Alligator mississippiensis: one gene and its partner. The protein of the gene in region 2 binds, or shares a complex with, the protein of the main gene of each other region. Links are inferred from orthologs where the notes say so. Each region holds a gene or a part of one and is shown on either strand. Other genes may lie near its edges.

Evidence for each region. Proteins that work in one complex are often made in the same cells at the same time.
Region 1: PIGQ (region 2) and PIGP share a complex: the UniProt entries of both Homo sapiens proteins name them as parts of the glycosylphosphatidylinositol-N-acetylglucosaminyltransferase (GPI-GnT) complex. The link is inferred for Alligator mississippiensis from reciprocal best matches to the Homo sapiens genes PIGQ and PIGP.

The regions. Positions count from the first base shown.
Region 1 is NC_081824.1:295,040,195-295,047,033, forward strand, and holds the start of PIGP (phosphatidylinositol N-acetylglucosaminyltransferase subunit P), read right to left. Parts: upstream 3,019-6,839; 5' UTR 2,871-3,018; coding exon 2,789-2,870; intron 2,783-2,788; exon of another isoform or gene 2,600-2,782; coding exon of another isoform or gene 2,557-2,599; intron 1,519-2,556; exon of another isoform or gene 1,466-1,518; coding exon of another isoform or gene 1,417-1,465; intron 323-1,416; coding exon 250-322; intron 1-249. UniProt on the Homo sapiens protein: Part of the glycosylphosphatidylinositol-N-acetylglucosaminyltransferase (GPI-GnT) complex that catalyzes the transfer of N-acetylglucosamine from UDP-N-acetylglucosamine to phosphatidylinositol and participates in the first step of GPI biosynthesis.
Region 2 is NC_081836.1:27,004,344-27,011,838, forward strand, and holds the start of PIGQ (phosphatidylinositol N-acetylglucosaminyltransferase subunit Q), read left to right. Parts: upstream 1-4,477; 5' UTR 4,478-6,334; coding exon 6,335-6,391; intron 6,392-7,495. Other genes in the region: NHLRC4 (NHL-repeat-containing protein 4), read left to right, coding at 3,028-4,143. UniProt on the Homo sapiens protein: Part of the glycosylphosphatidylinositol-N-acetylglucosaminyltransferase (GPI-GnT) complex that catalyzes the transfer of N-acetylglucosamine from UDP-N-acetylglucosamine to phosphatidylinositol and participates in the first step of GPI biosynthesis.

The sequences.
Region 1 (6,839 bases), on a different chromosome or scaffold from region 2:
TTTAGCTCAGTGATAATTTTTCAGGGCAAATTATTATTTGTGGAGGGTAGTTTTTGCAAAAATACTCCAGTTGTCTGTCAGAGGAACAATAGTAAGTCTTCTTTTTCAAACTGGATGAAATGCAAGACCTATTATGCTACATAAATAGCACTGGTACATTTCTAGTTTTGTTATTTGAAAAAAAAAGGTTCAAAGACTATCAAGTATTTTTACAAGGATAGTTTTATAAACTAAATGATTTGAACCTACTTTTGAGGCCAGTATGTTAGTCCCAATGAGAATAACCAGGATTCAGGAACATATGCCCACACAAGGTATAGCACTGTACAGAAGAAGTGAAGTTAGTATTTTGATCACAATGGTAAAATAAACATTATTTCAGAATTAAAAAACCCCCCAGTTCTAAGCACTTACAGTAGTGTCATTAGAAATCATTCAAATAATGAATGACAACTTGCTCTACAGCAGTAGTTCCCATAAGGCCTTACTAGACCATAAATGCCATATTGGGTTAGTCCAATGACTCGTATCTTGCCTCTGATGGATAAAGGAGTGGATGCTTTAGAGGGATAAATCTAAAGGCTGGAACAGGTATGTCTAAAGCAGAGGTGGGCAAAATGGTGGATCTAGCCGGTGGCTGGATTCTATTTTCCAGCATGCTGTGGCCCATTTCCGTGGAGATCCCAGCAGCTGTGGGCCTATGACAGTGTGTGACCAGGGTTTCCATGGAGACTGGCCCCAGTAGTGCTGGCAGGGTGTGTGGCAGGATGGGAGCTGCTCTAGGGCCAGGATCCTGTGGCGGCAACAGTATGGTCTAGAGGTGGGCAGAGTTGTGATCCACTTGATGTTCAACGTTTTGACCAGCCTGGTCTGGCGTGATAGACATCCTATCCCTGGCATCTACCATCATTGGTTTAGAGATGCCAGAGGATACACCTCCAATTGCTCTAATAACAGTTAACAGTTTCATCACCCACAAATTTGACTACTCCTTTTGAGCTTCGCTAGCCTCTAACCAGCATGTCCAAAATATCAGGGAGAAGGACAACCCCACAAACAGCATCATGCACACAACTCTTTGTAGAAGGCAGGGCAGCGCCTCAGAAACTAACCTGGGCTTTCAAGGGCAACAGTTTATTTTGGCAGATGCTATGAAGTAGCCTAGCAGTTCTCAACCTTTTTTAGACTTGAGGCACCCTCCCCTGCATCCATTTAGACTCAAGGCACCCCTTGGAAAATGTCAACGCTGAGCTTTTACTCCTTTCTTAATTACAGAAAGACAACTGAGCAAGTCTTCTCCTGCAGAGAGCTCAGAAAGCCCACAACAGGGGCAGAATGATTTTAAATGCATTGGATTACTGTCTGAAGTCACTGGGTTTATCTTGGTAATCATGTGCATGCACCTAAGAGTGCTACCTTTGCATGACACTCCAGCAGCATTCCTAAAGGGGTCACAGTAGCCCATGGTTGAGAACTACTTGAGTAACATCTCATAGGTCTCCAAATTAGTCTTTAAAGCTAAAAAAAGAGACAAGGGTTGATTCATAGAATCATAGAAAATTAGGGCTGGAAGGGACCACAGATCATCTAGTTCAACCCCCCTGCTCACAGCAGGACCACCCTCAAATAGATCATCCCAGCCAAAGCTTCGTCTAGCCGGGTCTTATAAACCTCCAAGGATGGAGCTTCCACCGCCTCTCTGGGTAACCTGTTCCAAAGTTTTACTGCCCTCCTACTGAGAGAGTTTTTCCTAATATCTAACCTAAACTTCCCTTGCTGAACCTTGAGACTGGTGCTCCTTGTTCTGTCATCTGTCACCACTGAGAACAGTCAAGCTCTATCCTCTTTCAAACCTCTTTTCAGGTAGCTGAAGGCTGCTATCAAGTTTCCCTCAGTCTTCTCTTCTCCAGACTAAATAAGCCTAATTCCCTCAGCTTCTCCTCACAAGTCCTGTGCTCCAACCTCTGACCCATTTTTGTTGCCCTCTGCTGGACTCTCTCCAACTTGTCCATCTACTTTCTGCAGCAGGGGCCCAAAACTGGATGCAGGACTTCAGATGTGGCTTCCCCAATCTTGACCCAGCTTTGCCTGATCTATCCAACAGCAAACCCCAGCAGCAGAGGAACAAGGTCCTGGTCATGCATAAAGTGTAGAGGCAGGTCCAAGGCACCACTCTTCACCGGGGCACCTGAGGCTGGCTTAAGGCAGGCAGTCTGGCAGGGCAAGGGGCGATTTCAGCAACAGAGACCCTCCTCCCTCTGAGCGGGAGGACCATGGAGGGAGAGGTGGCTGAAACAGGGGCCACAGACTAGACCCAGCTGGGCTTGCACCTGGGCCCGCCTGGCCAAGCAAAGCTTGGGGTTGTCCTGGACAGCATTGCCAGGTCCTAAATAGTAAATTATCATATTTGCTGAAAAACTATTGTACAGTGACAAATATGCAAATAAGCCTTCTTCTTTACTTCATATTGCTCACTGTAAGTCGCCAATAAGTCAAAAGTTGAAGCATTTCTTTATTGTAAGGCGAGCGCTGACAGTGAACCCAAACATCACTTACAATTCCCCGACAGTGACATGGGTTTTGCATCTGCTGCATCCATCCGCTACCTCAAAAACGATCGGACATTTTGAATACGCTTATTACCATTACTGAGTGCTCATCGTACAAGGGTTCCAATTATCGGAGAAACCGAATAATTATCGTGCACCCGGCAACGCCGGCCCTGCGGGGCCAGCTCCGGCCGCGTCTGCCCGGCCGGGCCCCGCCCTCGCCTCCCCGCGGCACCTACTGAAGCCGAACTGAGCGGCGAGAAAGAGCACGAAGCCGTAGAGCGCGCGCTCGGGCAGCGGCGACGGCGAGTTCTCTACCATGGCGGCCCGGTCCCGCCTCCGCGCGGGGGACTGACGTCACCACCTCGGGTCGAAGCCAGCTGACGAAGGAGAAAGGGTGGGGAGGCCGCTGCGCAGGCGCCGTCCCGCGTCCAATCGGCTGGTAACATCGGCTACGTCACCCCAGCCCGTTATGCCCTGCCTATAAGCGTCCTGCCGCTGCCTCTGTTCACCGCCTTACAGAAGTGTCGTCACCACCCGCGCATGCGCGAGAGAACCGAACCCTCCCCCGCCTTTTTTTTCCCCCCTCCTCTCGCGCGAACAACCGCGGTTGGCCCTTTGCGTAGGCGAGTGAAACCTAACACAATTCCACCCCGCCCCCCTTAGCCCGGGGGCGCTGCGAAGATCGATGCTTTACGTTCCTGACGTCAGAAGTCGGGCAGCCAATAGGGTGGCGGGAAGGGGTCCGTGCGCCTGGGGCGGAGTTGTTGTGCTGCGCCGCGGGAGCCCCACCCGTCCCTTACGGCGGCGCGGGCGGGAAGCGGCGGTGCAGCGGCTGCTGGGAGTCTCAGCCTTGAGCCGGTGAGTAGGGGTCCCGCGGGCGGCGGTTTGTCATTTCCTGTCTCTCTTCCCCCCCCCTCACGTTGTGTTGGCTTCGCGCAGGGCTGGGGCCCGGGCCGAGGCTGAGGTGGGATCTGGCTACAGCCCCCACGCCCCGTGGCTGTGGGGGAGCCCATTTGCCACGTGGAGGAAGGCAGGCAGGGGCTGCTCGGGTCAGGCGGAGGCTCCGAGGTCCTGTGGTCTCGGGTGCTTCCGCAAGCCTTGGCGTGAAAGATGGTTGGAAGCTACTTCTAGTCACTAGGCCTCTACAAACCCGGTTTGGGGAGCCGGGCTGATGTTTTTAGGGTGCGATGGGTGGCTTCGCCTGTGTGGCCGGTCTGGATTGCACAATTCCCCCGGGATTTGCGTGAGGGGGTGTACCGTGCTGGTTAAAGGGCAGTTGGTGGTGGGGGTGATTGCAGGCTACAGCTGTTTGTGGTTAGCAGAGGCAGCTGCTGAAGGGGCAGGGCATCCTTCCCCCTCTCCCCCTCCCCCCCATACGATTCAGCATCTTGCAAAACGGTGAGGGCCAAAGTTTCTTTGTGTAGATGTGATTATCTTTTATTAGATCGACTAAATACCCTGCAAAACTGTTCTTTGCAAGCTGTCGGGCACAAGCAGCCTTCTTCAGGCATGGGGAGAGTCTGTTGGTGTTTGTGTGCTGTCCTGGGTAGAAGAGAAGCCAGTGTGCAGATAGCAGGTCTGTGCAAATGCAAATGCCTGGCAGGGAGGATCAGAGAGAATGGGAGACAATAGGTGTGAATGACAATGGGAGACAGGAGGGTGGTTGGGGGAGGGGGAATGTTGACCTGGTGATAATTGTAGCTGGTAAAATGGTGTTTACCTGATGAAGGGTTTAAACCTAAAAGCTTGCTAAGAAAAGTTTTTCCAACTATTTAAGTTGATCTAATAAAAGACATCAGATTGAGCCAAAGATCGAGCCTTGTCTAGCTGGTTAAATGCAGTTTTTCCAGCTATCTAGTTGGTCAAATAAAAGAGATCACATCTACCCAAAGAACCTTGTCTGCCTGTGTTCTTAGACCAATACGGCTACAGCCAACAACCTTAGTGCCAGGATGGGTTTAAGTGAGAAATACCTTCTCCCTTGCTGTTTTTATTTTAATGCCTCTTGCTAGATTTTGATGAGCAAAGTAGATTATGCTGCTTTTTGAGAAGCTGTCTTGAGCCACTCTGGCTTTTTGCATTGGTTATGGGTTCCTGAAAAGGATTCTGTAACCCAGATCAGCTTTTTGTTAAACAGGAAGTGTTATAGCCTGCTGATCCAGGCCAAACTGAGAAAAATGTAGGCAGAGAGGGAGGCCAGCCACTCGGGGGAGGGGGGAAGTGAGCACAGAGGAGGGGCCTGAGGGGGAGAAAATGTTCACATCTTTTCTGAACCAGAACAGCATGTTGTTCAAGTAGCTTTGTCTGCTGTTGGTTTGCAAGCCCCTCACATGAATGAGTTTGGAATTTTTTGAATTGTTGTGGCTTTATCATCTTTATCACCTCATGCTCTCTTGTGAGTAGGTAGCAGAGTTGATTTCACCTTCTCTCAGGGTGATTTTACTGCCAGTGTTAGCAACAGAACTCCTTGGCTGTATCTCATGGGTTTCTGTTTTTCTTGAGCTGAGAACTTGGTGTTTATGAAGAAACAGCTGTTGACCTCTTTTTAAATTCTCATTCAAAAATTGCTATGGAACATCCAGGAAAAAAAAAAGCCAGTAGGGTGACCAGCTGTTCCTGTGTCATGGCCTGTAAACCATGGAGTTTAACTTATCCTTCCTGTGATGACCTTTTTACTCTTATCAGTGGACACAGGAAACATCTTTTTCTGCCTCAGAGAAAAGTACATCTCTAACAAGTGCTCTGTCTGCTGCTTGAGAGACACGAGGTTTGTGATGCACACTCCTTGGAGTAGTTCGTGAAGGTCATATTTAGTCTGGTACAGGAAGCAGTGTCCACAGTTCTTGCTTGGAGGATATCTTTAAAAAGTGCTCTGGCAAGCAGGCATTATACCTGATCTTAGAAAGGAGAAAATTAAACAAAAAAAACCCTCAATACTTTTGGCTCTGATACTAGGGTCTGCAGTTCTGACTAGAGTAACATTGGTACAGGCAATATTGATGCTGACCCCGGGAAAGGAATCCTGTGCTGTTGGCCTTAGGTGCTAGGTGATATACCTGTACCAAGTCTGAGGTGCATCTTGGAGCATATGACATGTTCATCCATAAGGTGAACTCAAGCCAAGAAAAATCTTTTAAGTGTCGCAATGTTAAGCGATGAGAGCAAGGGTACTGGTAATGCAGAGAAGGGGCAAGAGCAACCCAGAAGCTGTCACACCAGTGCCAACACCAGTTCTGAAATCTACACTGAGACTGAGACACCTTTAAAGAGGCACTTCTTTCCATATGATTGGCACTCGAATGAGCTAGAACCTCATTCAGTGGTATACCATACTTTTTGCTATCTCTAGGCCACTACTTTTCCCACACGCGGAACTGGAAGCGCGCTCTCGTGCGCGCGCGCGCTCTATAAAGGGAACTATCCCAAAGAAGCATTGTTCAAACAATGGATATCAAACAACAAGGATGCACTTTTTGTAGAAAACAATGATTAAATTGAGGCTTCCTGTCCTGTGATTTCAGCCATGATTTAAATTGATACGATTTAAATCAAATCCACTGTGGTGTTGTGTAAACAGTTATGGTACTTATAGTTTAAGGGATAGTTATGCAGGGATGGGTAGAGGGGGTCTCCTGGGTATATACAACCCCAGATAAATTTATCTAATGCTTTTACAGGTTGGTTTTTTATTCCTAATGTTTACTTGCATCCTGTTGTCAGTCATTGAGGGCATCTTTACATGCGCTGGGGTGGGGGGGCACTTTAATTAAGTGACTCCTGAGAGCCGCTCTCATTAAAACACCCACATCATGTTATATATTCAGCATGGCTCCTGCCACCATTTTGAAGTATGGGAACTCTGAATACATGTGACAACCTAATAGACACACTCCAGCAGACTCAATTAATCCAGCTCCATTAATTGAGCCTTAATTAGCACACACTGACTAGCTCCAGCTCTAATTAGCATGCTCCAGCAGACTCCATACTAAATGCAAGTGAACTTATTCAGGGCACCTACACAGGTGTCTGACCCATGTTCCGACACATGCTAATTAGCCTGTGTCAGAGTAGGTGGGCTCCTGTAGGTGCCCTGAATGAGTATACTTGTATTTAGTTTTCATTAGGTTCAGGAACAGCCTGTATTTCTCATTAAGTATTTTACTAACTGGAATTTTTGTTGCATTGCGTGTAGGGTTATAAAAGGTACTGACAGACACAGACCGTTTAAAATGTGGTTTGAACTGCAAGCATCTGGACATACAAGCCAGTTTAGAACAGCTTAAC
Region 2 (7,495 bases):
ATCTGCTAGCTATTCCTGGTTTCGTTTCTTCTATTTCACAGACTTGCAGACTGTTTTTAGCTCTTTTCAAAATCATAGATCCATCCATGGAGACCAGTCTTTAGCAGCAGCTCAGGTTTCAGCTTTTGGGTAAGCAGGAAAGGCAGCATGAGTGAGCTGGTGATTAGCGAGTGCCAGGAGCCAGCTGTGGGCATCAGATTTCATAGATTTCATAGACATTAGGGCTGGAAGGGACCTCAGAAGATCATCGAGACCAGCCCCCTGCCCCAGGGGCAGGAAGTCAGTTGGGGTCACAGGATCCCAGCAAGATAAACATCCAATTTTCTCTTGAATGCGTTCAGAGTAGGTGCTTGAACCACCTCCGATGGCAGGCAATTCCAGACCTTGGGGGCTCAGACAGTAAAGAAATTCTTCCTTATGTCCAGCCTGAAATGGTCTTGCAGGAGTTTGTAACTGTTCAACCTTGTCATCCCTTGGGGCACTCTGGTGAACAATCGCTCACCCAGATCCTGGTGAACACCCTTGATAAACTTATAGGTGGCCACCAGATTGCCCCTGAGCCTGCGCTTTTCCAGGCTGAAGAGTCCCATAACTCTCAGCCTGTTGCCGTAAGGTCTCTTTTCCTGACCTCTGATCATGTGTGTGGCTCTTCTCTGGACTCTCTCAAGCTTCTCCACAACCTTTTTGAATTGTGGAGCCCAAAACTGGATGCAATACTCCAGCTGCAGCCTCACCAAGGCCAAGTACAACAGGAGAATGACACCCTGAGATTTGCTTGAGAAGCATCTATGGATGCAAGCCAGCGTTTTGCTTGCTTTACTAGCTGCAGCATCACATTGAAGACTCGTGTTCATCTTGTGGTCAATCATGACCCCCAAGTCCCTTTCATCCGTAGTGCTAGCCAGCGTAGCACTGCCAAGCTTATAAGGATACTGCAGGTTTTTCCTCTCAAGGTGGAGACCCTTGCATTTTTCAGTGTTAAACACCATCAGGTTCTCATCCGCCCATTTCCTGAGCCTGTCAAGGTCAGCCTAGATTGCCCTCCTGTCCTCAGGTGTGGATGCTTTACCCCAGAGTTTGGTATCATCGGCGAACTTGGCCAGTCTGCTTCTGACTCCAATGTCCACATTATTAATGAAGATGTTGAACAACATAAGCCCAAGAACAGAGCTTTGAGGGACCCCACTGGTCACAGGGCACCACGATGATTGATTTCCATCAACCACCACCCTCTGGGTCCGACCACGGAGCCAATTCTTCAGCCAGTGAATCATGGTGGACCTGAGGCCGCAGTTGGCCAGTTTTGCCAAGAGGTGATCGTGGGATACTAGATTGAAGGCTTTTTTTAAGTCAAGATATACAATATCAGTCTCCTCTGCCTTGTCCAGGTGATAGGTCACCTGGTCATAAAAGGAAATAAGATTGGTCAAGCAAGACCTACGCGCAACAAACCTGTGCTGGCTATCCCTCAGGATGTTGCCATCAGCCAGTCCTTTGAGAATGGCCTCTTTGATGATTTTTTCTAAGACCTTCCCCAGGATAGAGGTCAGGCTGATGGGCCTGTAGTTTGCCAGATCCACTTTCCTCCCTTTCTTGAAGATAGGCACCACATTGGCCTTCTTCCAATCTTCGGGCACTTCACCAGAGCACCAAGAGTTCTGGAAGATCCGTGCCAGCAGCTGAACTATGATGCTAGCCAACTCCTTGAGTACCCTGGGGTGTAAACTTTCAGGGCTGGCTGACTTGAAGGTGTCCAGCCTCTCAAAGTGTTCCTTCACAAGTTCAGCATTGGTGGAGGGCAATGAATCTCCCTCACCTGGGCCTCCCTGTCCTGTAATGGGCAGGGGCATCCCGTGGAATTGATGAAAGACTGACACAAAGTACCCATTTAGTAAGTTGGCTTTTTGCTGGGCATCGGTTGTCAGTTGTCCCTTCTTGTTTAGCAGGGATCCAATGTTGCCCTTGCTGTTCCTCTGGCTCCCCACATATCTAAAAAAGGACTTTTTTATTATCCTTGATACTTGTAGCTAGTTGGAGTTCAGTTGCAACCTTGGCTTTCCTTGTTCACTCCCTGCAAGTCCGGACCAGTGCGGAATATTCCTCCTTGGAGGTGGATCCCATCCTCCATCCTTTGTAGGCCTTTCTTTTTTCCACAGGAAGTCTGCTAGTTCCCTGGAGAGCCAAGGGGGCTGCTGTGCCATTTTGCTGCCTTTCCTCTGAGCTGGAATAGCATTAGCTTGTGCATCCAGGATTGCTCCGTTGAGGAGCAACCACTCTTCCTGAACTCCCCTCCCCTTTGGGTCATGGTCCCTTAGGGCCTCACCAACAAGCCTCCTGACCTTTCAAAGTCAGCTTTCCTGAAGTCGAGGACTTCTGTATTGTTGACTGTTTTGCCAGCTTTACGGCAGATGGTGAAGGTATTCAGCTCATGGTCGCTGTCACCCAGCTTCCCATCGATTGTTAAGTCACCGATGAGGTCATCTCTGGTTGCCAGTACCAGGTCAAGCAGCGCTTTACCTCTCATTGGCCTGTAGACTTCTTGTGTCAGACAGAGGTCATCCACGCATGAGAGGAAGCTTTGCGACCACTTGGATTTAGCCGAGTGCTCTTCCCACGAGATGTCTGGGTAGTTGAAGTCTCCCATGACAACCAAAAAACAAAGATGTTTACTTTTAGGGTGCAGGCTGGTGATTATGCAGCCATAAGTCTGGAAAAATCTTTTTTTCTTCATTCTATCTTCTATTTGGGGAGGTGTGGTATGTGAGAAAATATGGTACTCCAATGCAGAGTATGGTGCCCTATTCTTTAGAGAGAACCAGATGTCGCTCTGCAAGGATAACTTAGTCTTTGTTTATCTTTTTTTCTTAATATACATCAAAAAAGGGACTGGAGTCTGATATCAGTTATATGGGTGTAACTCTGGAAAGACTCCATTGCACCAAAGGAATGAGTCTGTCCTCACAATGTATAGCTCTATGAGGACTGTAATGGTTGTGTTACCTTTTCCAAACAGGGGGGAGATTAGCCATGGACTATACTCTGGAGGCCACCCATCATAAAGAAAAACTTCTGAAGACTGTTTATGCCCTCCAGGTGAAATCAGACACTACACTCCAGAAGGCAAGCCCACTTCTGAGCAACCACCATGGGATGGGCATGGTGACAGAGCACCAAGTCCACCAGCTGGCAGAGAAAGTCAAAGGCATCTGTCATGACTTAGACAACATCAAAAATCTCCTCTACTATCGACAGAATAACCTGGTGCAGCAGATCCCCAACCCCAATGGCAGCAGTTACGGGGGACCAAGTGGAATCCATTGCTCACTGGATGGCTCTATCTACATAACTAGTGAAAATGCACCCTGTGTCCACATCCTTAGTTGCTCAGGCCAAACTCAGCAGCTCCTGCCATGCATAGAGTGGGGAAGGGAAAGTGAGGCCTTTTTGCCAGAAGATGTGACAGTGACAAGGTCAGGGATGGTGGCTGTAGCTGACATGTTGAACAGAGCCATCTGTGTCTTCAGCCATCACTCCAGGTTCCCCAAAGGAGAATGGATAAAAATTGGGAAGGTCAATTCCCCCAGGGGCATTGGAGTGGACTCATCAGGAAAAATTCTGGTTACAGACTACACTCAAGGAAAAGTCCACAGCTTTGCACTGGACCATGCCTTTAAGATACTGAGTACTCACACGGTCTCTAACCTTTGTGGACCCCGTTATGTCAGCCTGGGACCTGATGGTGGATTTCTTGTAAGTGAGGAATGCGGTGATGTCAAGCTGTTTAATAACCAGCACAAGTTGGTTTACTCTCTTGGCAGCAAATATGGGCATCAGTTTGGCAACCCTTCTGGGGTCTGTGCTGACATAGAAGGTAACATCCTTGTGGCTGATGAGCAGCACCGAACAGTCCACCTGTTCCCCAAGAGTGGTTCTCCCATCTGCCTGGTGTCTGAAGGGCTACGGAAACCAACAGGTCTGACTTGTTCCACTTCTGGACAGCTTTTAGTAGCAGATACTGGGGACAATTGCATCAAAGTCTTTAAATACCGTGTGAGACCTGCCTACAGTTCTGATGCTCCTTGGGTGTCCTGTGACAGTCCCAACTTAACCCCCAGACAGAGGACAGGATCGATGCCACTGTAACCCCAACTAATTCATTTTTTTGTCAGTTATTGTTATGGTCCAGTCACCCTCATTGCAATACCCCATGTTTTTGGCTTTCAGTGACTCCTGTTGGTAGAGGCAAGAAATAGAACATATGATTTCTACCTGAGTTACCTCGACTGCGTCGATGGCTTTATGATAGCTTACAGAATCTTCCCTATAATTCTCTTTGCTGTTGCTTTCCTGCTGAACAATAAAGGTTGTGCCTTTCCAGATGCCAGAATGGCTATGTATCTTAAACACATGCTCCCCCTTCAAAATGACTGTGGTTTCATGCTTATGGCATCAAGAAACATGGTATGTGAATTGAGGATCAAGACTAGGACTGACAGAGTATGTTATTGTCCAGAGTGCTTTGTTCACAATAGACTTTATTTGAATGGGGTAACATTTTAAAGATCTCTGATTATCTGTGGTTCTGATGTTCCTGCCTGGCCATAACTGGTGAGAAACTAGCTATGCACAGAATGAAAGGCTGAGCAACACAGGTAAGGAGAATATCCACAAAATGCAAGGAATTTCATACTAGAGCAACTGGAAAGATTGAGAGACTGAATTCAACATATTTCTGCAGTGCACATCATACACACATACGTATATGCACAACTGGAGAATGAGTGCCTATGATACCCAACACAAATATAAAACTGGGAATGAGTACCCTGTACCTTTGTAATGCAGCTCTCATATGCATACTGCATACACACAAAATCACATGCCTCACACATCAGCAGTGAGCATGATACACACAGACAGAACAAGCACTGAGGAACCTCACTTCTGTAAAGAATGCTGCAGGTACATGCTCCACAGCTGGCCCTCAGTGCCATATGCCTTCACAGTGAGCATTAGGTAACCAAAGCTGGGACTCAGCACTTCCCCATTGTGTGACACACATTTTGCACCAGCTTGGAATTCAGAGACCTTGCTTCGGAGAACTACACACATAAGCCTTATCAACAAAGGGCAGTACCATGCAGAATGGGTGTGGGAGAGGAGAGGAAAGGCATCCCACCCGGGAGGTGTGGGTAACGGTTCCTTTCAGATACCACCCAGGCTTCCCGCTAAGACTTGTTCCCCCTGAAGCAAACAAGAATCTGCAAATCATGGGCCTGGTTTGCCCCTAGTGTAACTCAGCTATGGAATTTTACAGGGCCCTGGAATTTGTACCAAAGAACGGCCTGATCTGAAATAACAACAAACTGCAGTCTTGCTTCTTTCATCCCAACAGATTTTTCCTCCTACCCTGCCACCTGCCAGGGCACCCTCTACAAAAGGGCTGGCCAAGCTGGCGTGCTTTGGATCACCCCAAAAATCCTCTTGTAAAACCATACCAGGTTAAAAGAAAATGACAAAATAGTACAGACAAAATCAGGTAGGTGAATGAATGGTTCAGGTGTGGAAGATGAGCTCATGAATATCCTTTCACTCCCATCTGTTCCTCTTTTTCCAACCATCCAAAATCAACCCCCCCGCAGCTCCAAGATTTGAACTCCAGCATGAAAGACCCATCTGCCGCAAATCTTTTAACTCCTTTGCCTCTAATTCTAAGATGCCCAAAGCTGTCCAGAATACTGGTGTATCCACACTCCCCAAACCACATGGCATTCATAAAAAAGGATGTTCTAGTTTGGAGGTCCAGCAAATATAATTACTTTTTGAATACATATGCCAACCCAAGACAGCCTGAAGAATTGTACATGTGTGTGCACATTAGGTATGTGTGGGACAGTGGGAGTCTAACCAGGTGGATAAAGACACTGGACGACTCCACTGTCATTTAAAGACCGCACAAGGGACCCTTTTTACCCATTACAGCACTAGATGAACTATTTTAGAGTCAATGTGCATTGCTCAAATCTTGTGGTGAGGGGGCGCCCTATGAATAAATTTGATATGCTGACTTTTTCAGTGGCCCAGAAAATGGTTGCATCAATTAGTTTCAGGATTTCAAAAGTTAATCCAAGCAGGTCTCCCTTATCAGTAGGCCCAGCCCGCTGTTGTAGCAGGGCAGTTACTGTGTGAACTTAGCACATCATGCTTAGTGATATAGTGAAGACTCAGAAAGAAGCAGGCAAGAGAGCAAGCTCATTTCCAGCTGCTCCTGGCGTGGTTTCCATTTGTAGCACAGGCTCAGTACTAAGGACTAGGTCTGTGTCCGCTACAGTCAATGCAAATGCTCTCACTGAAGGCTTCTGGGGGACAAGATCAGACACCGAAAGCTCAGGTAAATTGTGTCTCTGAGTCTGCTTAAAACTCTTGGCTGCCAAAATACAGGGAAAGGGAAAGAAGTAACCAATAGATGTGGTCTGGGATGCAAGACATTTCAAACCATTTTTTTTTTAATTTTATTTTTAACTGAAATTTAGAAATAAAACTATCATTTTAATTTGTTTCAATTTAAAATAACTTGGATTAAAAAAAATAACTCCCTTTTATGTAAAATTAAACATTACTTTTAGTTTTTATCATGGAAAACTGGAATACAAATGTTGATTTCCCACAGGAAAATAGATTTATTTTCATCAGAACTGACAGTTTCAAATGAAAAATTGTATTTTTAATAAAACCATATTTTTGATCAGGAAAACTTTAAATTAAAAAAACTGTTAGCCCTCTGTAAGAGTGAAAGTGCTTCCTTCCACATGTCTCCACATACGTCTGGTTCCAGAACCTCAATCAGCCTATGCATCAGGAGGCTGCCATTTCAGAGAGTTTGCAAGACTGAACAAAGGTAGGCCTTGGAAAGCCTTGAAGTTGTATAACATTTATGTCACAGTGTTGTGTCTGCAGTATGAAGACATTATGAAGATAGTGCTGCCACATTTGAATGCTGCCACATTCAAAGAATCATGACCTTGGATAAAAAAAACATGAGGTTTGGGGGTTTTTTAAGTACATTTTGGGTTTTCTTTATTTGAGATCAACCCTGTAAAAATTAGACAACTGTAAAAATGTTAGGATAAGTGGCATCTAAGGTCCCTGTAAGTGTGGCTTGTGTGGCATTAAAAAATGTCTATAGCTAGTGAAAAGTGTGTGTGACATGCTGACACAGTTGTCACACTGTGTTCTAAGGTGCTGATTTCTGAAGGACAACTTTTGAAGTATGGTGATTACAGGGCTCACTGGGGGCATCTACACGTGTGTCTTAATATGCAGTAGCCTATTCTACTGTGTATTAAAGCAGTGCTTAAAAAACAGGCTAATGCGTTAATGTGCAATAGAATAGGCTACTGCACATTAAGTGTCACCTAAAAAGCGCTTAGCACAACCTAATGTGCATTTATTTAGTACCTCATACTGGCGTCATTAGGGTCCCTAAACATGTTCC